2 linked regions of the Arabidopsis thaliana genome follow. The protein of the gene in region 2 purifies or fractionates together with the protein of the main gene of each other region. This does not show direct contact. Each region holds a gene or a part of one and is shown on either strand. Other genes may lie near its edges. The genes, in order: PRK and GAPB.

Evidence for each region.
Region 1: the proteins of GAPB (region 2) and PRK fractionate together in Arabidopsis thaliana (co-fractionation; one large-scale study listed by BioGRID). This does not show direct contact.

What each region holds. Positions count from the first base shown.
Region 1 is NC_003070.9:11,530,109-11,535,324, reverse strand, and holds PRK (phosphoribulokinase), read right to left. Parts: upstream 3,127-5,216; 5' UTR 2,658-3,126; coding exon 2,134-2,657; intron 1,866-2,133; coding exon 1,781-1,865; intron 1,681-1,780; coding exon 1,596-1,680; intron 1,516-1,595; coding exon 1,271-1,515; intron 1,168-1,270; coding exon 919-1,167; 3' UTR 686-918; downstream 1-685. Other genes in the region: NSI (nuclear shuttle interacting), read left to right, coding at 1-100, 207-300, 398-474; SCAMP5 (SCAMP family protein), read right to left, coding at 4,351-4,383, 4,485-4,550, 4,633-4,681, 4,938-5,005, 5,089-5,134.
Region 2 is NC_003070.9:16,125,347-16,130,665, reverse strand, and holds GAPB (glyceraldehyde-3-phosphate dehydrogenase B subunit), read right to left. Parts: upstream 3,314-5,319; 5' UTR 3,115-3,313; coding exon 3,013-3,114; intron 2,923-3,012; coding exon 2,827-2,922; intron 2,748-2,826; coding exon 2,583-2,747; intron 2,514-2,582; coding exon 2,346-2,513; intron 2,255-2,345; coding exon 2,094-2,254; intron 2,010-2,093; coding exon 1,948-2,009; intron 1,872-1,947; coding exon 1,822-1,871; intron 1,720-1,821; coding exon 1,313-1,719; intron 1,215-1,312; coding exon 1,082-1,214; 3' UTR 771-1,081; downstream 1-770. Other genes in the region: AT1G42960 (inner membrane localized protein), read right to left, coding at 3,586-3,720, 3,809-3,895, 4,049-4,145, 4,319-4,439, 4,737-4,803. UniProt on the Arabidopsis thaliana protein: Involved in the photosynthetic reductive pentose phosphate pathway (Calvin-Benson cycle). Catalyzes the reduction of 1,3-diphosphoglycerate by NADPH.

The sequences.
Region 1 (5,216 bases), 4.6 Mb from region 2:
GAAGCAGCAGGAGAAGAAGCTTATTGGTATGGCACGTGCGACGTCGGATCATGCCTTTAATGCTACAATTTGGGATGTTCTTGTTGATCCTGAATATCAGGTTAATCAAAACAAATGATATGGTTTTTGCATTTAGTTTTTGCTTGCCAATATAAATGCTTTGTGTTTGATGTTAATTGGTGTTTGTGTTTGTTTTCACGTTTCAGGGTCAAGGGCTAGGTAAAGCTCTTGTTGAAAAACTTGTAAGGGCTCTTCTTCAAAGAGATATTGGTAACATATCTCTGTTTGCAGATAGTCAAGGTAAAACATCGAATCACTGTTTAATCTGCAATTTTTGTGGTCAAAATATTTGGATTTGTTCTTACTTAGTTGTTGAATCTGTGTTCCTTTTTTGTAGTTGTGGATTTCTATCAGAACTTGGGGTTTGAGGCTGATCCAGAAGGCATCAAAGGCATGTTTTGGTACCCAAAGTAGTACTTGGTGATTGCAAGAAAATGGGATTGTTACTTGTATGTATAATTTCTTTGCTTTCTTATATGGAATCTATAAGGAAGTTTGAACTGTGTAATTTGTAATCCAAAAGCTATTTGACATTCAAGTATTCAACATGAGTATGATCAATAGGATAAAACTGTTCTTTCTTTTGCTTAGTTGATTTGTGGTTTGAATCTACTTTGATGCTGTAAAGAACAAATTTTGAAGGCGTTCTATAAACTGAACTGTTATTGCTCTGCTATTCACTTCTCTACATTACAGGCTTTTTCTTTTTATCTCCACACAAATTACAAACAAGCAAGACCGTCCTTTTCGCCATGAAAATCCGCGGTAAACAACGCATAAAGAAAGAAAGAAATAAGAAAAAGAAGAAACTGCGGATGTATTTATCGACGCGTTCTATTTGGCTTCGCTTCGTTTGTTTTAGGCTTTAGCTTCTGCACGAGCAGTGGCTTTGTTGGCAATGAGCTGCTCATAGAGATCTCTGATCTTCAATCCAACAATGGTTTGGAAAAGACCAGTACCGTTGTTGCTACCCGGGAAATCAGCATGTTTGAGCATTTGTTGAGTGACTTCTCCGTAGAATTTGGTCGAGAGGTTGCTCAAGTGACTTTCCACGTAAATCAGCTCGTCCAGTCTATCAAATTGTCCATCCATCTCCAAAACTGATACCTGAGAGAAACAAAAAGGGAGATATATGCAATGAGTCTAAATTCTCATACACATGCATTTTCATTCATTTCTCACAATATGTCATTATGCAATATGAATGTACCTCATGGTCGAAGTAGGAGTCAGGTTCGTAGTTGAACTTGATGCCAGGGTACGAGCAAGTGAGTTTGCGGCCGCAAGGAATCCACGAGATGGTTGAACCTTCATCGAACAGGTAAACCGGGCTGAAGTACTTAACACCTTCCTTCATTATCAATCTCACTCTCAACACTTTCCCTTCGTTGTCATCTGGGATCAGAGTCGTAGGAAGCACTTCTATGACCGCATCCGCGTACTGCTTTTGCGGGTCTGTATAAGCCATTGAAAATATTATAAACTGATCAAGCCGAATATGACACGGGGTTACATCAAGAAATTAGGAGTGTTACCGATGAATGCATCGAAGTCGGGCTTTCGGGCTTCGATACTCGCTTTGATGCTCTCCAAACTGTGACCTCTTTCAGCCATGTCCCTCTGTGACCATCAAAAACGTTACAGATTCAGTTTTATAAGATAAACCGAAAACGTTCCACAAAATGGTGTAAATGTAGTTGAATTATTCAAAGAAATTCACCTGAATTTTCCAAGCGAATTTGACTTCGTTGCTAATGTCCAAGTAGATACTGAAGTCTAGTAAGTCTCTTACTCGCTCATCAAACCTTCACAAGTAGATAAATATTATTATAAAACATTACAAGTACCAAAACTATAGACTTAATTATTCGAATAAAAATTAATCGGTGTCACACACTACATGCATAGATTCAAAGATCCATCTTTAATTATTCTGATACTGATTCTAGTATAAATCTAAGTCCAGATTCTTAATCATCGAAATTCCGACAAGATAAGAGACTTCCAAACTCTAAAATTTGAGTATGTCTAAGATACAAAACAGAGTATCATAACAGAGTATGTGTAGCTTACATTGGGTGAAGACCTTCGATGACAAGAATCTTAGGAGGCTGAATAAGCTCCGGAGGGTCAAGAAGTCCAGTGACATGGTTATAAATCGGTTTCTCGACGGCTATACCATTCTTAAGAGCTTTGACTTGCTCATACATGAGATCAAAGTCATTGGCGCGTGGGTCCAAAGCGGTGACTTTCTGCTCTTTCCTACCGTACCTATCCAAAGAATGGTAATCATCAAGACAGATCACAGTGGTCGTGTCGCTGATGAGTGTGTTGGAATCAGGGTTCCCGCCTTTTGGTGGCTTAGCAGCGCCACCAAAGACGCTGGTGAGCCTCCGCATAAAGGTACTTTTGCCGCAGCCAGAGTCAGCAGCTAGTCCGATCACGATGGTTTCTTGTGCGCAAGTGATGAGTGTGTTGAATCTACGGTTGGTTTGTGGTTGACGACGGTAGAGGAAGACTTGTTTGGAGGAGGAAGAAGAGGTTAAGAAATGAGTTGAATTGAGAGCTTGTGTTGAGTAGATAGTTGAGACAGCCATTGTTGTTTGTTTGGTGTTTTGGTCTCCTCTTCTTCTCCGCCTAAGCTCTTTTTTTTTTGTTTAGCTTTGTGAGCTCAGGTTGAGTGATGAGGATTTAGGATAGAATGAAAGAAATGTGGGTAACGATTTTTGATTTTATGGTTTTTTGTGTGGTGATATAGAGATGTGATTTTTTTTTTTTTTGAAAATAAGATTAAATGGGGAAAGAGAGAAATGAGAGGAGGACAATGGGTCTATAGGAAAAACAGATGGCAATTTGCAGAGAAGAAAAGGAGTTTTATTTTGTTTTGTTTTGGTTTAATGTGGTTGTGTGATGATTGGCTCATGTTTTGGTTTCTTGAAGTAAAATTGTTTGTAATGTTGATTAGTCTCTATGTTAAGATGTTGTTGATAAGATAAGAGGATAAGAAAACATTTATAGCCATTAAAAAACCAAAGATCATATCTTATTTACTTCATGAAGTAATAAACTTATGGTAATTTTGTTTGATTTTTTTGGCTAAAAGATAATTTGGAGAATAGAGTTTGGGAGAGGAGTGGAGTTGCCGATGAAGTGATAAAACTAACAGGGCATGGAGGGAGACGTTGCTTGGTGGTTATTTGCTTATTTTTTTGGGATTTGGATATTTGAATTGACACGTGGGAGATTCTAATTGGACAGATGGGGATTAGGTGTTTAAGGTCTGAAGATGAAGGAGAGAGTATTATGTGGGTCACATTTACACGTCACCGTATATCCCCCCTTGGCTTCGAATCTTTATGGTCTTTGAACAACTTACCTTTTTATGCTTTTATTTTTTTCTATAGGGATCAAAGCCTTCTTGCGTTACCTTAACAATGGGCTTCAAGCCTACCAATTAATAAAGACACCAAGAGTTTTTTTTTTTTTTTTTTTTTTGTGAACAGATACCAGAAGTTTATTACTCATGAATTTCACCGTAGGGTAATTAGTAAAAGAGATTACATCGGGATTAAAAAAACAAAACCATGGTTTATTTATCGACCGCGATAGAGTCGGCACTAGTTGCTTATTCTTGGACACATTGAACGTAGTCTCCACCAACCACCATACAACTTCCATGTCAAGCATGAAACTATAACGGGTCAGAGAATTTGTTAGGTTAAAAAGTAAAAACTATGGACTCACATTAAATCTTTCCAAAAAAATTACTTTAATCTCTTTTGAGTTTTGACTCATGGAGTTTGCAAATGAAAAAAAGTTCTTATTTTGCTCAACAGAAGAATTTAACGAAGTTTTATCTCTCTCGAGTCATGGTGTTTGCAAAAAAAAAAATTCATAAAGTTCACGGCCATATCGAAACATCTATACTTTGTTATACGCAATGATAATCAGAAGGACCAGATTCTAAGATTCAGACCGAAGAGAGTCGCTACTAATAATTCATAGCTATGATTTTTTTTTGTCTAAATAGTCCATCCACTTCGCCGAAAAAAAATCCCAAAAGCTAAGAGACGATATTGGTATATTACAGACCAGAGAAGAACAGAGTAAAAAACATAAAGAAATGGCCGAACAACCACTCTCTCTTGCTACTATAGTAACTAAAGAATTTACCTCAATCAACACAACGCATCAAACGGTAAAATGGTAATTACATTCATAGGAGATACACATATTTCAGACCTTATATCGTAAGGGAAAATTACCATCATCTTCCTCTTTATCTCCTTTTCACTTGTTTCCCCTAAAGTAGAGGTAAATTTTCTGCAAAGCCAAAATGGGAAACCAGATCAATCAAATGTTTACTGGTTTCATCAACGTCAACAGTTTTGAAGAAGCCATGAAAAGTATGATCAGAGGCTTACCTGAAGAACCCATAGACTCAGCAGTGACTCCAAGCAGAAGAGACCGAATCCGATAAAGTAGAAGATCTGCCATCATTCATTAGGGTTAGACACATTGAATATATTATAGGCGTCGTCATGAAATGTAAAATAGGTGTATAGCTCATACCCCAGCTAATAAACTGTCTGAGATGACATCAATTGCTGCAAGCACACCCCTGTTGATCGAAATAAGAGAAAGGGTTTTTAAGTTAATCTCAAGGCAACAAAACATACAGAGGTGAATCACAGCTAGATTCTCACTTCTACTTGTAGTCATAATCCTCATTATTTTGTAACAACTGAATATTAATAAACCTTTCAGAACAATTTAGAACTTTCCAATTGAAGCCCTCACCAGACTAACCAACTACATATGAAGTAAGAGTACACTCAAACGCAAGTAGAAACGTAGGCTATTATTGGAAGACTTACGTTAATGATTTTCCATGGAAAAAGATTGGAGGGGCGATGGCAGCAACGATGCAGAAGCCAATGTGAATCTGTAAGGAGCTCAGGTCAATCATGTGGAAAATGGAAGTATATCTACTTAAAGGTAAGATATAAATAGGTTTTATGAACTCACCAAGTAGGTGAAGAAAAACCAACCAAACTTCAAAGCACTGTCAGTCCTGCAAGGCCGTAAAATGTATTTCAATTATATCGCCTGTAATTGTACTTATACAAATGGAAGAGAACCAGTGAGCAGGAATA
Region 2 (5,319 bases):
TTTACTATTTTAAATATTAGAGTGTTATTATACTCTGTATAAACAGTAATAGAATACAACTATAAATTTAGTTCTAATAGGAGACAACTCATATTAGTTAGGATACTAGTTATATTTAGTTTGGCCAAGGCCGCTATCGTATGAACATATTTTTCTTCGTTAGAGACGGAGTACTTATCTGTTATTTAATATATCGGCATACACCAAAGTTTTTTCTTTATATTTGTTATTTTTTTGCACAGTTTGCCCAAAGCATTGATTAAAAAATCACCACTATAATGATTGATTGATTCACTTCCAGAATGTGTACGACTATTCCTTGCTCTGATAGGTTCAATAACCAGAGAAGCTATTTCTAGCTGAACAAAAGATGGAACTCGAGTCTAATAAAGAAACAAGCTTGAGAAAAAAAGGCTGAGTTGGTTGAAGAGCTGCAATGAAAATGATTGAATTAACAAATTTTGTACAATTTTCTCATTTTTCACCTACATCATTAAAAGTTTTGTAGACTCAATTCAAAAATCAGCCTGCTACCATTTTTTTTGTTGTTTTTTGTTGTTGTTGTTATTGCATAAGTTAAAAATTCAATTGAGAAATCGTCATAAGAGTTTGGTTCTAAATTTTTAATATTTAAAAACTATATGGTATAATACCTTACATTGATTTTAATTTATTCTTTCTTTATTTTTCATTTTTAATATAAAAAAATTACATATGTATTATGAAATTCAAAAAGATCAATTCCAACCATCATACAATAAAGAAATCAAGTTGAAAATATCAAATCTCTTTTCTCTAGATTGAATGTTTCATTATTTTGTTGCACACTCATGCATCTTTATTTGTAAACCAAATCAAACAATTTCTTTTGTCATACATTGCTCAAATAAATTCCGTTTTAACATGTAGCATAAAATGGTTATTTCTCAAATACAATTCTCTCAGTCTTAACATATAGTTGTTCATCAGACAAGAAAATCTTATGAGAAAAACAAGTATGCATAGTACGATTTCGAATAAGTAACTCATGATACAAAGTATTGTTTTGGTGAAAAATAAAGAAAGAAATGATCAAAGTTGTTCAGTCATAGACTTTGCATTCCTCATCAGCCGGGTTTGTCTTGCAGAAATCCTCCAAAGGATCTCCACTTCCAACAGCTTCCGCTCCCGGCCACTTGCTAGCCACTAGGTGAGCCAAATCCACCACTCTTTGGCTAAAACACGAACACGCAAACGCAAACACAAAACATAAACAAACAATCATAGGTTAAAACATAAAATGATATCATGTAATGTGTTATATCTCTCTCACCTGTAACCCCACTCGTTATCATACCAAGCAACCACCTTGACCATATCATCACCCATAACCATAGTGAGGGACGAGTCAATGGTGGTAGAGACATCAGAGCACCTGAAGTCAACAGAGACAAGAGGCGCATCGCAAACGTCTAAAATGCCTTTCATCGGTCCATTAGCGGCTTTTCTAAAGGCCTCGTTCACATCCTCTGCTGTCAAACCTTTCTTCTCAACGTTTATAACAAGGTCAACCACTGAGACGTTTGGTGTTGGCACACGGAGTGCAATGCCGTTAAGTTTACCCTTCAGCTGCGGCAACACTAATGACACCGCCTTGGCTGCTCCTGTGCTGGTAGGCACTATGTTCAGTGCTGCGGCTCTTGCACGCCTTAGGTCCCTGTGTGATGCATCTAGAAGCCTCTGAAACAATTCATTTCAAACATATTTATTTTTTTGACAATACAAGCAAGCTCTTCCGTTAGGTTTCTACATGGATAGATAGACAAAAAGATGGAATCTTACTTGGTCTCCGGTGTAGGAGTGTGTGGTTGTCATTGTCCCCTTGACAATTCCTGTGATTCAGTTCATGTATGAGCTATAAAAAAAACATTTTGAAACATGTAGTGAAGCAGAGAAAATAAAATGTACCAAATTCTTCATCCAAGACTTTAGCAAAAGGTGCCAAACAGTTGGTGGTGCAAGATGCATTGCTGCAAAGAAAGACCAAAACTGAAGCATGAATACTCAAACTCGTTCATGCTTTAATGAGATCAAAGGTTTAACTTTAAACGGACCTAATAATGTTAGCGACATCGTGACCATAGTCTTGCTCATTGACTCCCATAACATAGGTAGGGATATCAGCACCTTTGGCTGGTGCAGTGATGATAACTTTCGAGGCTCCGGCTTGGATATGCTTCCCTGCTCCTGGCCCATCAACAAACACTCCTGTTCCCTGATGATCATAACCATATACAGTTTTCGATTAACTAAGTTCCGTAGCGCGATTTGCCATCATAATAAGCAGTTTTCGGTAGAAATTTCACCTCGATAACAATGTCAATGCCGAGCTCAGCCCATGGAAGCTTAAGAGGGTCTCTGTTGGAGACAACTTTGATGAGCTTACCATCAACACTAATAGTTTCATTGTCCACAATTTTCACTTCAGCCTTGAAGGTTCCAAGCATGGAGTCATACTTAAGCAAGTGGGATGCCTGCAAATTTCATCAAATGTCAAAAATGTGTTCCACAAGAAGAGTTCACAAAGTTTATTACATACTTACATTCTTGACACCACCACTGTCGTTAAGTACAACAACTTCGAGAGGAGAGTCTTTACGACCATGCCAACACCTAAGAAAGTTCCTACCAATCCTTCCAAAACCGTTAATCGCAACTTTCAGTTTCGCCACTGTCTCTCCTCTAACAGGAGTTGATGTTGTCACAGCCTAATATTTCACAAACTCATCACATATTCACAAATCATGATAACAATACAGTTACTGATTCAATCAATAAATAAGTTACCTTAGGGATGATTTGTGCAGCTACAGCATCGAAGAAAGATGCTTCCCCACCGATACTACTCATACGCAGACCGGAGAATTCAGCGACTTCTAGCCTCTGTGCAAGTAAGTAACAAGAGAAACCAATAAAACAAACTGTACCACACACATAAACAGAGGGTATGTAGTAGTCAGATGGAGTTCATACCTTGGAGGAGCATTGAGCAGGGAAAGAGTGAATGGCACTCTTAGACTGCAGTCGCTGTGTGACCGGGATTCTTGAGACGGCGAGAGCTGCATGTGTGGCCATAGCTGCAAGTGATCACAAGAAGGAAAAATCTAGGAATGCTAGTGATCAGTTTTGAGCGTTAGAATATATACATACATACACACATCCTTTGGTTTTGATCAAAACCAACCAATGGTTCAAAGTGAAGCAAAGTAATATGTGGCTATTATGTAGGTAAGATACATATGGGGATAAGATTCTGTGAGCCAGTGATCACAAGTTTCTCAAGAGACTCATTTTTTTAATCCTTCTTTTCATGTCATATAGTTTTCATCAGGATATTATATAGTCTTCATAACGTCTGGTTTCGCATATAACTGTGATATATCCTTCAACACCGCGATTTCGAGAAAAAAAGAAGAAGGAAGAAAGCAGTCATTTGAAGATAGTAGACGAAAAGTTGTACAACATTACACAGAAAGGAAAACAATTATTGGGATCATAGTAAGTAATCTCCCATGATTCAATTTCAAATCCTAAAAACAGATGATTTCAGGCTGTAGCCTCGATTTCATCGGTGCTTAGAGCTGCACCATTCGGAGTATCTTCTGATTTGAGCTGAGAGGAGACATCGTCGATAGCAGAGTTAAGCTGAGCAATTTTCTCAGCTAGTACCTTACGTGTTTTCTGCATTAACAGTAGACAACATTGTTCATAAGTAAATTCAACAAAAAGTGAGATAAAATATGAATCAAGAGGCTTAGCAATAACTTACCTCCAAAGCTTTTTCCTCGTCATATATGAATTTAGGCAACTTCCTCATGAGATCCTTTCGGTCTGCTCCAGCTATAGCCTTGCTGATCTGATACAATTCACAAAAGTAACATCACACATTGATGAGTCAAAGTGAAACAGAGAAGGTTACAGAGCTCCTCGAGTCCACTCAAGAACTTCTTGATTGAAACGAATACAAGCTCTAAGAGTGATCAAACTAAACCATGTAACAGATTACTACCTGTGGTGCATATACACATCCGAGGGCACCGACTATAAGTCCGCCCAAAATAAACCCTCCGACGAATAGGCCTGTGCTGCCTGAACCATCATCATCTCTGCAAGTTTTGATGCTATTAGACATTGCAAACTGTCTCTGTAAACATAAGTTGCCAATAGAAAACTAAAGTATACTAAAAAATGTTACGATGCTCACAAAACATTAAGGAGTAACAAGAACCACAGTTTTCGACATCTCAAACAATAATTTGTATAAGATAAAGTTATATACCTGTATGCAGATTGAATGGTTAGGATCCTTTTGGTTCTAGGAGCAGAAATATGAAGTTTGTTGGAGTGATTCAGTCCAAATGAAACACTGACACAACGAGCATTTGGATTCAGAGAAAAACCTAGAAGGTAACAAGAACAAACAACAATCAGTGACTTATACATAACAAGTTGAACAGTTTTCTAACAAAACAGCTTCAAGCTCTAATTTTGCATTGTTTTGACAAATCAGCACAAGTAAAAAGAAAGGACCCAACAACATAAAGGAATCAAGATCGTCCAATACACAATTAAATTGGGTTTTGTGAGATGCTAAATTAGAAATCGTAACATGACTGTACGAATCTCATGAGCTCGAAAATGGAGGATATTGAAAATCTATAAAGCACGAAGATTGGAGAGATTGAAGAAGTTATTACCAGATGAAGGATGGAGTTGGTGAGAATTCTTGGGGAGAGAGAGAGAGGTAGAAGAAAGAGACGCCATGGATGGAAGAAACTGTGTCTGAGAGAGATCCTGAGATAGAGCAGTTGGAGCAAGTTCGATGATATCTAAGCAAAGCTTCTTCGATTCAGTGGTAATTATTTATTTAAATATTTATTACAAATATTACATCAAAAAAAAAAAAATGTAATAAATATTGGGAGAAATGAAAATGGATCAATTTGGTCATCTAATCCGGTTATGGAGATAATGACATTATTATACATGATCCGATCCGGCATATGTCTAAAGAAAACTAAAATATCCGAAATAACATTAAGATAACTTTATCTTATACAAATTATAGAGATAACTATTGGAGATAGTTTAAAGATCGATTCGTTCTGAAGAGTAAAATATCTTGGAAAACCTGATTTGGGTCTAAATATCATATTAGTTTGTTTTTGAAACTAAAATATTTAGAAAAACTTATTTGTCCAATGACAAATATAGAAAAATTGTTTGATGGGTTTTAAATAAGTATCTTCAAAATTTTACAACCAAATAAAAAATATAGCA